Linked DNA regions of Oryza sativa Japonica Group. Each later gene encodes a partner of the first gene's protein in a complex. Links are inferred from orthologs where the notes say so. Each region holds a gene or a part of one and is shown in the gene's direction. Other genes may lie near its edges.

What was found. The genes of interacting proteins can lie anywhere in the genome.
Region 2: vacuolar sorting protein 39 (region 1) and vacuolar protein sorting-associated protein 41 homolog share a complex: the UniProt entries of both Arabidopsis thaliana proteins name them as parts of the homotypic fusion and vacuole protein sorting (HOPS) complex. The link is inferred for Oryza sativa Japonica Group from reciprocal best matches to the Arabidopsis thaliana genes EMB2754 and VPS41.

Annotation. Positions count from the first base shown.
Region 1 is NC_089037.1:29,849,092-29,855,884, reverse strand, and holds the start of vacuolar sorting protein 39, read left to right. Parts: upstream 1-2,492; 5' UTR 2,493-2,646; coding exon 2,647-3,058; intron 3,059-4,138; coding exon 4,139-4,350; intron 4,351-4,581; coding exon 4,582-4,713; intron 4,714-4,784; coding exon 4,785-4,928; intron 4,929-5,747; coding exon 5,748-5,860; intron 5,861-6,351; coding exon 6,352-6,772; intron 6,773-6,793. Other genes in the region: uncharacterized protein, read right to left, coding at 24-84. UniProt on the Arabidopsis thaliana protein: Essential protein required during embryogenesis. Believed to act in part as a component of the putative HOPS endosomal tethering complex. HOPS is required for the central vacuole formation.
Region 2 is NC_089038.1:6,606,638-6,611,852, forward strand, and holds part of vacuolar protein sorting-associated protein 41 homolog, read left to right. Parts: intron 1-245; coding exon 246-506; intron 507-980; coding exon 981-1,113; intron 1,114-1,213; coding exon 1,214-1,304; intron 1,305-1,730; coding exon 1,731-1,833; intron 1,834-2,366; coding exon 2,367-2,470; intron 2,471-2,618; coding exon 2,619-2,712; intron 2,713-2,794; coding exon 2,795-2,950; intron 2,951-3,033; coding exon 3,034-3,096; intron 3,097-3,197; coding exon 3,198-3,263; intron 3,264-3,479; coding exon 3,480-3,680; intron 3,681-3,808; coding exon 3,809-3,886; intron 3,887-3,974; coding exon 3,975-4,094; intron 4,095-4,191; coding exon 4,192-4,272; intron 4,273-4,357; coding exon 4,358-4,443; intron 4,444-4,729; coding exon 4,730-4,841; intron 4,842-4,902; coding exon 4,903-5,215. UniProt on the Arabidopsis thaliana protein: Required for vacuolar assembly and vacuolar traffic.

The DNA of each region.
Region 1 (6,793 bases):
AACGACGACGACACAGCACGTACCGTTCCGGCCGAAGAGCGCGAGCACGTCCTCGATCTGCTCATCGGTGAGACGATCCGCCATCTCCAGCACCAAACCACCTCCCTCCCGAGCCGGGTACTCGCCTGCGGGCGGTGGAGCTGTGCGGCAATGGCGGTGCGCTCTCCGCTCTCGCTCTGGAAATGGGTTCGCGGCTGCGCGTGACGAGTCGATGACTACTAGTAGTACTACTTGTACTCGAAGAGGAAATGCGAAGCGGAGGAGGAGGACGATGAGGTGGAGGCGGTGGGGCCCGGGACGTGGGCCCCAAAAGCTTCTCAAAGTTTTTTTTTTTTTGACACCAAAGCTTCTCAAATTTTTTGGAAGCATTTGCATGCGCCTCGGGAGAGGAGAGAAATGGTTGTTTCTCTCACTGCCTTGTGGGTCCATCAGGTGGTTTCGTTGTGATATTTATCTCCCGATTGTATTGGCTCACACGAACTTGGACAGTTGGACTACGGGTCCACGAGGCCATGGGAGGCTGGAGGCGTCAGCGAGCTACTTGTGCAGCTGTGCTTGTGGAGTTGTGGTCGTGGACCGAGAGAGAGAGAGAGAGAGGGAGAGAGAGAGCGCGCGAGCGAGGAAGAAATGAGAAAGTAACCAGGTCGTGACAGTTCGCTGCAGCAAGTGCACTCAGCCGGTCTGGAGACCAAGTAAGACTCGGGTCGTGCCGGTTCGAACGAAGGCACGACAGCCTATCGTGCTTTTTTTTTAAAAAAAAGGTCTATTTTTCCTATCTAAACTCTCTGGACTGTGTCCATATAGCTGCAAAAGAAGTCTATTTGTATTCCTCTTGTCTTTGAGCATTTGTCTTATATGGTTAACTAAGTCTAATTTACGTCTCTCTACTATTTTTTTCCGATCATGCTGTACCGGGCCGGCACGAGCACAACCCCAGTCGGGCTGTGCCCTGCTTGGGCTGGGCCAAATTGGCGTGCCTTGGGGCGGGCTGCGGGCCTTGTGCCATATGGCCATCTATACCTCTAGCCCGAGACGACATGGAACTCTAGAAAGTCGGCAGCAGTAACCATCTTTAGGGCTTAGGCCGATGACTTCTCATCAAGTTCAGATCTCTAGAGGCCACGACAACTATGTTGAGTGTCAACATCAGCAGCGACCACCTCGTCCCTAACAAACTACGGTGGCTGAAGCTGGCAGCGGGACTTCTTCTAGCTGGGATCCAAAGCCTAGTTGCGACTACCTCGGCAATGGCGGCGCATCTAGCTGGCGGTCATAGTGCGCCTCCGTGTCGTTCGGCCCAAACACCCGACGCAGAATATTCGCCTCCACATCGATCACCCGCGGAGCCAAACGAAGCACATGAAGTCAAAATTGGGCACACGGACTTCGTCTCCATTGAGGGAGTGCGGCGTGGGGAGAAAGGCGGGGCGCCGCGTTGTGGAGGTCATCATCTCATCACTCCGTGGCTTCGTGTATTCCCCTCCCACGCTCTCCTTCTCTCGCACCAACAACTAGTGCCCTAGCGCAAAGGCAACAGAAGGGAGAGAGAAGCGATGACAAGAAGGCGGCGGAAGGGAGAACGAGAGTGGCGGGCAGAAGTGGAGCCTACCAGCGACCTATGAGCATCATCGTTGGGATCCATCGCATCACCACCAAAGCAACTCCACCGTGCCGCCTCCTGATCCGCATCAGCCGGAGCTCGCCGGCCACGGCGTCTCCCAATCCGTGTCAGCCACATCGCCCCTTAATCCACGCCGCCAGGAGCTCGCTGGGCGCACCACCCCTGGGTCCGTGCCGGCCGGAGCTCGACGGCCACGCCGCCCCCCTAAGCGAGACGGGAGAGGTAGTGGTGGCCACTTGCATCAGCCGGCCATGAGTGGAGGGGTAAGGTGGCATCGATGTCGACGTCACTGAAGAGAGGAGGGGAGGGGGAGAGGGGCACCGGCGGTGGGTGGTAAGGAGAACGACGGAGGGGGAGGGGCTCCAATAGCGGGGTATTCGAAGGAGGAGACCGGAACGAGGAGAGTATAATGGAGAGAGGGAGAGGGAAAGGGGTTATATCCCTATTTTTTTTTCTAGACTAGCAAAAATGCATGTGCATTGCAACATGTGAAGATAATTTTTACGATTGATAAAAACTATATTATTTTAAAGTACAAACAAAACAACAGCAAAACAAAGTCAGAAAGCATATATAACATGTGTGCTTCATGCGCCATCACACGATGAATCAAACTCCTATTTACCGACAAGATTATTAGCACGGATTATATCTATTTCATTAACAAAATAAATTAATATTTTAATAAATAAGTTTTACAAATTTAGAACGAACAGGTGATCTAAGTAACGTATCAGAAGAGGTTTTTCTTTAAGAAAATAATTGTTTTTATTGAAGGTCGAGCAATGCCAATAATAATCCAATATGTGTTTGTATCCCGTATACCTATACAGCTATACTATACCCCCCATTCCGTATACCATCATGGCCTAGCCGAGCCAGAGTCCTCGACGCAACGATCTCGCTCTTCCCCCTTTTCGTTCTCGCCTCGCCGCACGCGACGATCGCCGCCGCGGCCGACTCGCCTCGCCGCCGCCGGGGCGGGAGACCGCCGCCCGATCGGGGGGGGGGGGCCCGCGGCAGCCATGGTGCACAGCGCGTACGACGCCGTCGAGCTGGTCTCCGGCGTGCCGGGCGACATCGTGGCCGTGGCCGCCTACGCCGGGAGGCTCCTCGTCGCGGGGAAGGACGGCTCCCTCCGCATCTACGCCTCCCCGGGCCACGCCGGCGGCGGGATCCCGCGGGACGGGCCGTACGCGCTGGAGCGGCAGCAGCCCTCGCTGTGGCGCCGCGGGACGCCCCTGGCGATGGAGGTCAGCGCCGGCCGCGAGCTCCTGCTCTCGCTCGCCGAGTGCGTCAACCTCCACCGCCTCCCCGGGCTCGAGACCGTCGCCGTCATCGGGAAGACCAAGGGCGCCAACCTCTTCGCCTGGGACGACCGCCGGGGCCTCCTCGCGGTCGGCCGCTGGAAGCGCCTGACCATCTTCCGCCTTGACAGTGAGAATTCGGCCGCATTGCCTATTCGTTTTCGTTGTGATTTGAGTGTTTGTGGCTATGATTTGACTGTTACATCATTTGGGTTTCGGTGGAAATGGAGATGGCCTGTTGGTACTGCTCAATTTGGAGAATGGGAAGTCTGGATTGAATTGGGGCCGTGTAGTCTGAATTGATGTTCTTAGCTGGGACTTGGGATCTGTTGGAGAAAGGGAAAAACACTCGAGTTAATTCCAGGCTTTAGTTAATCTATTTAAGTTGGCTAAATGTTTTAGTGGAAAAATACAGTTACTGTTCTAATGATGCGATATATTCTATGAACACCATGGGGGATTAATAAGTGAATTTCTTGTAGTTGGAAGCTATTTGTGTAGGATATTAAACTTTTGAATCATTAATTGGTATATTCACTCTTTGATTATTCTTTTTCTGGCAATAATTACTGATCCTTTTTGTTTTTCCACATGTTGGGCACAATGAAATATTTCAGTTAAAACATGTTCATACATTCCAGAATTATTCTGGTTCTAATGGTGTTAGATGAAGATGATATATAGACATTTTTGCTAAGGCACACGATTTCATTATTCCACTTAAAGAAAATGTGTTATTCTGCTAACTCTACATTGATACAGCATACCAAGGAAATCATGTGTTCATGAATTTTCTTGTCATTTGCTTGATCGTAGATTTTGTTTTTGGCACAAATTGCATGCACATGTAGGCATCATTAGAATTCAGAAGAAGTTTCTGAAGTAATAGAATTTTGTGTGCTGGAACCGGTAACAGGGTTTTCTTTTTGTAATTTATCTGTATCTTGAATTTGGGAAAAAGCTTACGAAACATTAGCCTTTTGTTTGCTGAAACTGGTAAAGGAAAAACGACCTGTAAAATTTTTTTAGTACTGTTGTAAGTGCAAGGTATATCAGAATAAATGTATTTAGCAGCATTTGGCATAACTTAAGACTAGAGTTTGTGTTGTGCCTTTAAAATTTTGATTATGGTAATCTTGAAAGAAATCAAATGGCTGAATGATCTTGTTCTGAATACGCGTTGCATGGTGACTTAATTTCTGTTTATCAGGTGGGAGGGAGTTTGTTGAGGTGAAGGAATTTGGAGTTCCGGATACCGTGAAATCAATGGCCTGGTGTGGCGACAACATTTGTCTTGGGATTAGAAAGGAGTATATGATCATAAATAGTATGACTGGTGCATTAACTGAAGTGTTTTCTTCTGGAAGGAATGCTCCACCTTTAGTTGTGGCTCTTCCTACTGGGGAGCTCCTCCTGGGAAAGGTATAACGTTAATTTTTTTTGTGATATTATATATGTTTTGTTGTCAATTTGCCATTTGATGAAATTGCTTGGTTAGATGAAATCATTTTGTGATATTTGTTTGGTTCAAAGATGAAAGTATTCTGCTTTAGAGGAATGATGGGGCAGTTGGTCTGAATGTAGTAACTTGTTTTCACTTGTAAGTTTCTTTAATCTTAGCTCAATCATGTACTATTTACTTTGTTTACTCAGGATAATATTGGAGTATTTGTTGACCAAAATGGGAAACTTATTCAAGATGGCAGGATAATTTGGTCAGACACGCCTGCCTCTGTTGCTATACATAGGCCATATGCGGTGGCACGCCTGCCACGGCATGTTGAGGTGAGTTTATTCATCTTGTATACTAAAGCTATAGTTACATCGTTCCACCTGACTACTTGGTTTTGTTTCAGATACGGTCCCTTAGAGCCCCCAATGCATTGGTTCAGACGGTTGTACTTCGTGATGTTCAAAAGCTTGTTGAAACTGAGAACTGTATACTTGCTGTGCTAGCCCGCTCTGTTTATGGCTTGTTGCCTGTTCCTATTGGTGCCCAGGTATGCTGTGCTGTGTCTGGTACTTTGGTTTATTAATTTCGATGAGCACATTTCTGTAGACATTATATGATATCTTTTGTTCCGTGTTCCTAAAATGTTACTGTTCACAGCCTTGCTCACCCACATCACCTCCAAATTGTGGCTGCCCGTCCTGACACAGTGCCACACATGCACCATCTAGCCATCCTTCCACTGCCTACGGGCTTCTAGTAGTTTATCTTGATATCACAAATCACAGCACTAAGCTGTTTCATGCTAACTTTTGGTATAGTTTCCCAAAATAACCATTGTTGGTGCCCTTTATAAGATCTTGTACTGTTATGGGCATGGGCTAGGCCCATGCAACAGTTTAGGCATGATAATTTAGGAATAAGTCACATAAATATAGGAGATTACCTAGTTAGGAAAGGGATGAGGTTTATTAGAAAGTTAGAGATAGAGATTGGATTGGTTTATATAATAGTAGAGACTAGTTCCTTATGTGTCTAGTCTATCCTCCCTATATATAAAGGGACACCATGTACTCTATTATCAATCAATCAATGAATCTCTAAAGTTAGCCCTAAGCCTCGGAGCCTCTTTTAGCTCAGCAGGGAGAAGCCCCGCCACTGCTATTAGAGGGTGAGTGCCCTATCCCCCGGTCTTCGGGCCCTTACCCTAGCCAATCCATAGCATGTACCAATTGTTATAAGGCTTCTTCTATGGATTTTATTTCTTTCATGTACATGCTAAATAATCAGCCTTGATCATTTTACAAGTTGTTTCTCAGGATTGATTCTTAGCTCTTACATTTGCATCGTTACATATGTTGGTCTACAGATAGTGCAGTTGACTGCATCTGGTGAATTTGAGGAGGCTCTGGCGTTGTGTAAGCTACTTCCTCCAGAGGATTCAAACCTACGAGCTGCAAAGGAAAGCTCAATACACATAAGGTATGTTTCAAGTTGTCCAATCTAAAGGTCACACCAGCACTCTATTTGCAGTCTGTATAGATTTCCTACTTCTATACGTTTATCATCCTGTAGCACAAATGGGTAGATTCTGCTCCTCTTTACTTAAGCTGTTTGAATCACTTTGCTCTCTGATTATGTTTTGCATCCATGATCTGCTGAGAAACAAATTCAATAAAAGAATATGAATAGCTTATGGGTTTTCCATACTTTTACTATCCTTTTTTTTGTTAGAAAATAAGCAGATTGAACAGTACAGATGATGTTTGCAAAATGAAAATATGGAGTGTAAGCAAAGCAACAATATTACCAGTTTTGAATCCATGCAGTTTCTAGTCTATAATTGAAGTAGGCGAACAGAGCCATCTACTACATTTCTAGTCAGTGAATCTTGTGTTTTCTTATATATTTTTTTTATTTGGTTCCTCACATATAACTAAATTGTGTGTTTCAAATTTGATTTCATGAATTAGATATGGACACTTTTTATTTGATAATGGGAGCTATGAGGAGGCAATGGAGCAGTTCTCTGATTCACATGTGGATATTACTTATGTCCTATCTCTATATCCATCTCTTGTTCTGCCTCAAACGCACATCATAGGTGAACATGACCGGCTGCAAGATCTGCCAGAATTAGCAAGAGAATCATCTGATGTGACAGATGATATGGAACCATACTCTCTACAACTTCATGAATCTGATGATAAATCTCCATTGGAGATAAAGAAAATGAGCCACAATGCTCTAATTGCCCTTGTGAAGTATTTGCACAAGAAAAGAAATGGAATAATTGAGAGAGCAACAGCTGAAGTCACCGAGGAGGTGGTCTCTGGAGCTGTGCACCACAGCTCAATCTTATCTGAGTCATATCGATCAAAGAAGCCAAATAAGGTACTACTGCTTCAAATGCCT
Region 2 (5,215 bases), on another chromosome or scaffold:
TTTAGGATTGATTTTTTTTCTTCCAATCTAGTTTAGTCAGATATAAGGAACTAATGGTTTTAAACCTAAAGGAAAAGGTATACGATAGACATGTTTTCATTGTTAGTCATTCCTGGGAGCATTATATGTGTTTTATTTGCTGAGAAGTAAGTTTATAGTCACTTTGCTGTTAATATATCTGATTCTTTTGGGTTCTCATTTTCAATGAAATTGTACATGGCATACTGACTGGTTTGCATATTCAGGATGATACCATCTTAGTTATTGGATGGGGAACAAGTGTCAAGATTGCAGCAATTCGAACAGATTCATCTCAAGGACTCAATGGCATACAGAGGAGTATCACTGCAAGTAATGAGAAGTACGTGGATATTGTGGGTTCGTTCCAAACAGGCTATCACATATCCGGGATTGCTCCATTTGGTGATCTTTTAGTTGTGCTTGCATATATTCCAGAGGAGGAAGACAGAGAAAACAGTTTTAGCAATTCTGTTCCTTCACGTCAGGTAATCATGATGGCTTGTCCTTTGCACTGCACTCTGTAAATCTATTTTTCTCCTTTATTGTGTCATGACCCGAGGTCATGACAGGATAAACACCGCCGGGAAGATAGCCGGGCGGCGTCATCTCCTGGAGAAGGGATGTAGATTTAGGCTAGGGAGAAGAACATTATTGGGAGAGAGAGATTAGACTAACTGATATTCATTGCTTAACTTGAGATGAATACAATCCATCCCTTATATAGAGATGATATGACTTGACCCTTAAGAAACTAACTCAAACTAACTCTATCTAATCCTATCCTATCTCCTAACCAACTGCTACAGTACTCGTGGTACTGTTTATCCGCTAGGACTTGGCCTCGTGGGCCTCGGCCTCTCTGCCCAACGCCTATGACATATTGTGCACCAGATTCCTTTTCTTATGAAGTGATGCTGTTCCCACATTTACCTTTTTCGTTATGTTTAAACACTTTGTAGGGAACTGCCCAGCGTCCAGAAATACATCTTGTATCATGGAAAAATGATGAACTTACCACAGATGCTCTTCCTATTCATGGTTATGAGCATTATAAGGCAAAGGATTATGCTCTTGCTCATGCTCCTTTCTCAGGTTTAATGAAATGTGCTTTAACAGTGAATGAACTTCTCTTTTCTTCTTCACTGAAACTTTTCTAATGAAGGAATTTTATTGTTATATTTTTACCACCCAGGAAGCAGCAATGCAGGTGGACAGTGGGCTGCTGGTGATGAACCTTTATATTACATTGTATCTCCTAAAGATATAGTGGTCGCAAAGCCAAGGTTTGTAATGTTGCAAAACAAAGGATTATATTAGCTTCTAAGTTCTGCAATTGCAAATGAAAGAAGGCAATAATTGATTGAGCAAAACTTCTCTTTTTGAAAATGTGATCTTCCTTCGTCATATTTTCTCTGATTGTAATCTTGAAGAACTCCATTAGTCCTTCAATTTTCTGCATTATTTAATTGTGATACACATGTAAGCTTGGCTACTTGCAGTAGATCACTTCAGTTGCATATCTGATTCTGTGGCATTTAATTTTCTTCTAACTACAAGTAGCATACGTAGAACAATACTAAGCTAGTTTCTTCTGATAATTTCCAGCCTATTTGTGTTTCTGAGCTTTCTATAAGGACATGGCAAAATTTCATTTCAGAAAATGTTGTATCTTTATATTTCTACTGATATAATATGTGCTTTCAAATTAGAGATGCTGAAGACCATATTTCTTGGCTTCTTCAACATGGTTGGCATGAAAAGGCATTGGCTGCAGTTGAAGCAGGACAAGGACGAACCGAGCTTCTTGATGAGGTAAAGTAGAAACAGTTTGAGTTTGAACAGTAAATGAATAATGGTATGCATTATCTGCTTGATGATGAGGATGCTACCCTTATTGTTTAGGAACCTTCAAGTAGACACCTTTAAGGTCCATTATGGCAACTGAGGTCCCCATCCCCTTCTATAGTTTTGTTGGCGATTATCACGTTCACAATATTGAGCATTTTAGCTGAAAACAATGGGACCTGTATCATGTACCAATAGGTGTTTATATTTAAGCTGGCTCGTCTTTAGACTATTGTTGTCATGAGTTAAGGTGGTCCTAACAATGTGAACAACAAATACATTCTGAAATTCTATGCATATTTTAGAAGTTTGCTTCCTATCTTATATATATTATGCTGGTCTGATGCATATTTTAGAAGTTGACAGCACTTCAACAACATAACCCAGTCAGTATCTTATGAGCCCATTTTTTTAGGAAGGACGACCTCAGCTATTAAGAAATCTAACCACATAATAGCTAGGAACATTATTGAAATTTTGTTCATGCCATCTTATGTCAGGTGGGTTCGAGATACCTTGATCATTTGATAATTGAAAGAAAATATGCTGAAGCTGCACGCCTCTGTCCAAAATTGTTGCGAGGATCTCCTTCAGCATGGGAGAGGTGAGAAAAAAAGAAGTGTTGATATACATTGTATCCTTCATCATACGATCTGGAACAAACACAGGAGCATTATGAGATTTTGATGTGCATTGTTTGTTTTAGTTGATCACTAGTATATCTACTGACCATAACTTTTTTTGTGCCACAGGTGGGTCTTTCACTTTGCCCATCTTCGCCAACTTGCTGTATTAGTTCCTTACATACCTACAGAGAATCCTCAGCTGAGTGATACAGCTTACGAGGTGCCATTACTTCTTTCTATTTTGCTTGCTTGCTCTTTACAACACCTCTGATTCTAATACTAATTCTAATTGGTTTATGTAGGTTGCTCTTGTAGCTTTAACTACCAATCCTTCTTTTCATGAACTTCTCTTGACAACTGTAAAAAAATGGCCACCTACATTATACTCCGCTTCACCTGTCATATCTGCAATTGAGCCACAGCTAAATTCCTCTTCAATGACTGATTCATTAAAAGAGGTATGGAAACATTTTCTTAATGGATGTAAGACTTACACAGTATTTTTGAGCTCTTTGACATCTTGGTTCTGTTTGCCATGTAGGCTTTAGCTGAATTGTATGTCATCAACAGTCAATATGACAAGGCCCTTTCTCTGTATGCTGAAGTAAGTATTACCTAACTTGTAGTTAAAAGGTTCACATTGCATTAAATTAATAGAATTTTGTTTTATTACCTGTATTGTTGACCCAACCTCATTTCATTCAGCTCTTGAAGCCAGAAGTATTCGAATTTATTGAGAAGCACAACTTGCATGATGCCATTCATGACAAGGTATGGTTAAAATTCCCAAATGTAGGATAAAACTGATCTCACTTGACTTTTTTTTTCAAGTTTGCATTTGTGAATTGTCAAGTGTCATGGTAGCAATTGTCTAATAATGGTACTTACATATGGTTACAATGTAGTTGAACATGATAATATATTTTAGACAGAGACAGGCTTCAATAACCTCCATATATTCACTTATGGGCCTTGCGTATTTCGCAGGTTGTCAATCTTATGATATTGGATAGTAAAAGAACTGTAAACCTATTGATCCAGCATCGTGATACGATCCCCCCGAATGAAGTTGTAGGACAGTTGTTGCATGCTAGTAAAAGTTGTGACAAAAGACATTTGTTGCATCTGTATTTACATGCTCTGTTTGAGACAGACATGAATGCTGGAAAAGACTATCATGACATGCAGGTATGCTGATTCTTCTGTGAACAAGCAGTCTTTATCATACTGTTCACCTCCTGCCCATTTGCCCTATTTCTGTAGCTCTAGTTTTTGTATTAGTATAACAGCTAACCACATTACACTTTGTGTTGTAGGTGGAGCTTTATGCAGAGTATGAGCCAAGGATGCTAATACCCTTCCTCCGTACCAGTCAGCATTACAGGCTTGACAAGGTCATAAACTCATAATTCTCAAAAGAGAAAAAAAAAGCATTCATTATCTTGAGAAGGATGAGTAATGAATGACATGTGGTTATTTCAGGCATATGAAATCTTTGCACAAAAAGAGCTTGTACGGGAGCAAGTTTTTGTGCTTGGTCGTATGGGAAATGCAAAGGAAGCTCTCTCTACAATTATAAACAAATTGGAAGATATTCAGGAGGTCCTAATGTGGTTATGATCATTTTGTTAAAAATTTGGGGCTAGACTAGCAATTCTAGACTGTGGTTGGATTGCAATAACAGTAACCTTGGATGCAGGCCGTTGAATTTGTGATGGAGCAACACGATGATGAGTTATGGGAGGAATTGATAAGACAGTGCCTCCAAAAACCTGAGATGGTAATTGAGCTGTGTATTCTGTTCAATACTCTTGACACTGATGTTCCTTCTGTTTATTCATTGCATTTTTGTAACCGTTGAGCAGGTTGGAATGCTGTTGGAACATACTGTTGGCAATCTTGATCCTTTGTACATTGTTAGTTTGGTTCCTGATGGGCTAGAAATACCAAGGTAAATGTGCCAAAATTTGTTTCGTTCAAAGATAATGAGAACCTACCCCCAAAAAAAAAAACATCACATATACACCTTACGAAACGAATTTCTATCATCAGATGATCAGAAATTCAGAATCCACCAATTACTTATATACAAATTATTAGCTATGACCATCACTCAGTTTATTATAATAATTATAGGGCTATATTGACACTGTAGAATAGAGATGCTACAACTTTATTTAATCCAATCCTTCTCTTCCCTGGTTCAAGTGTTCATTGAAATATTACGCTTTTGATAGGTTGCGGGATCGCCTTGTGAAAATTGTGACAGACTATCGAACAGAAACTTCATTAAGACATGGGTGCAATGATATACTTAAGGTTAATATTCAAGAAAAAGATATACTTAAGGTTAGTTGTCTATTTATTACCCCACATCTATCTTGACGTTTGATGACCCTGCCATGTACAGGCTGATTGCGTAAACCTTTTGGTAAAATATTATCACGAGGCTCGGCGTGGAGTCTACATGGCTAGTATGGACGAGGAGGTGACAGGAACTAGGGTTGCTGAAGGATCTTCACGAGCAAACGAGAGATCATCAAGTTTACGAGCTTTAGAGATCAAATCCAGAACAAGGTGTGGTGCTCGGTGTTGCTTGTGCTTTGATCCTTTGTCGATTCAGGACATCTCTGTCATCGTGTTCTACTGCTGCCACGCATATCACACGTCTTGCCTCGAAGGCGGGTTGGACTTGATGAAATCGAACAGTAGTACTCAGGACA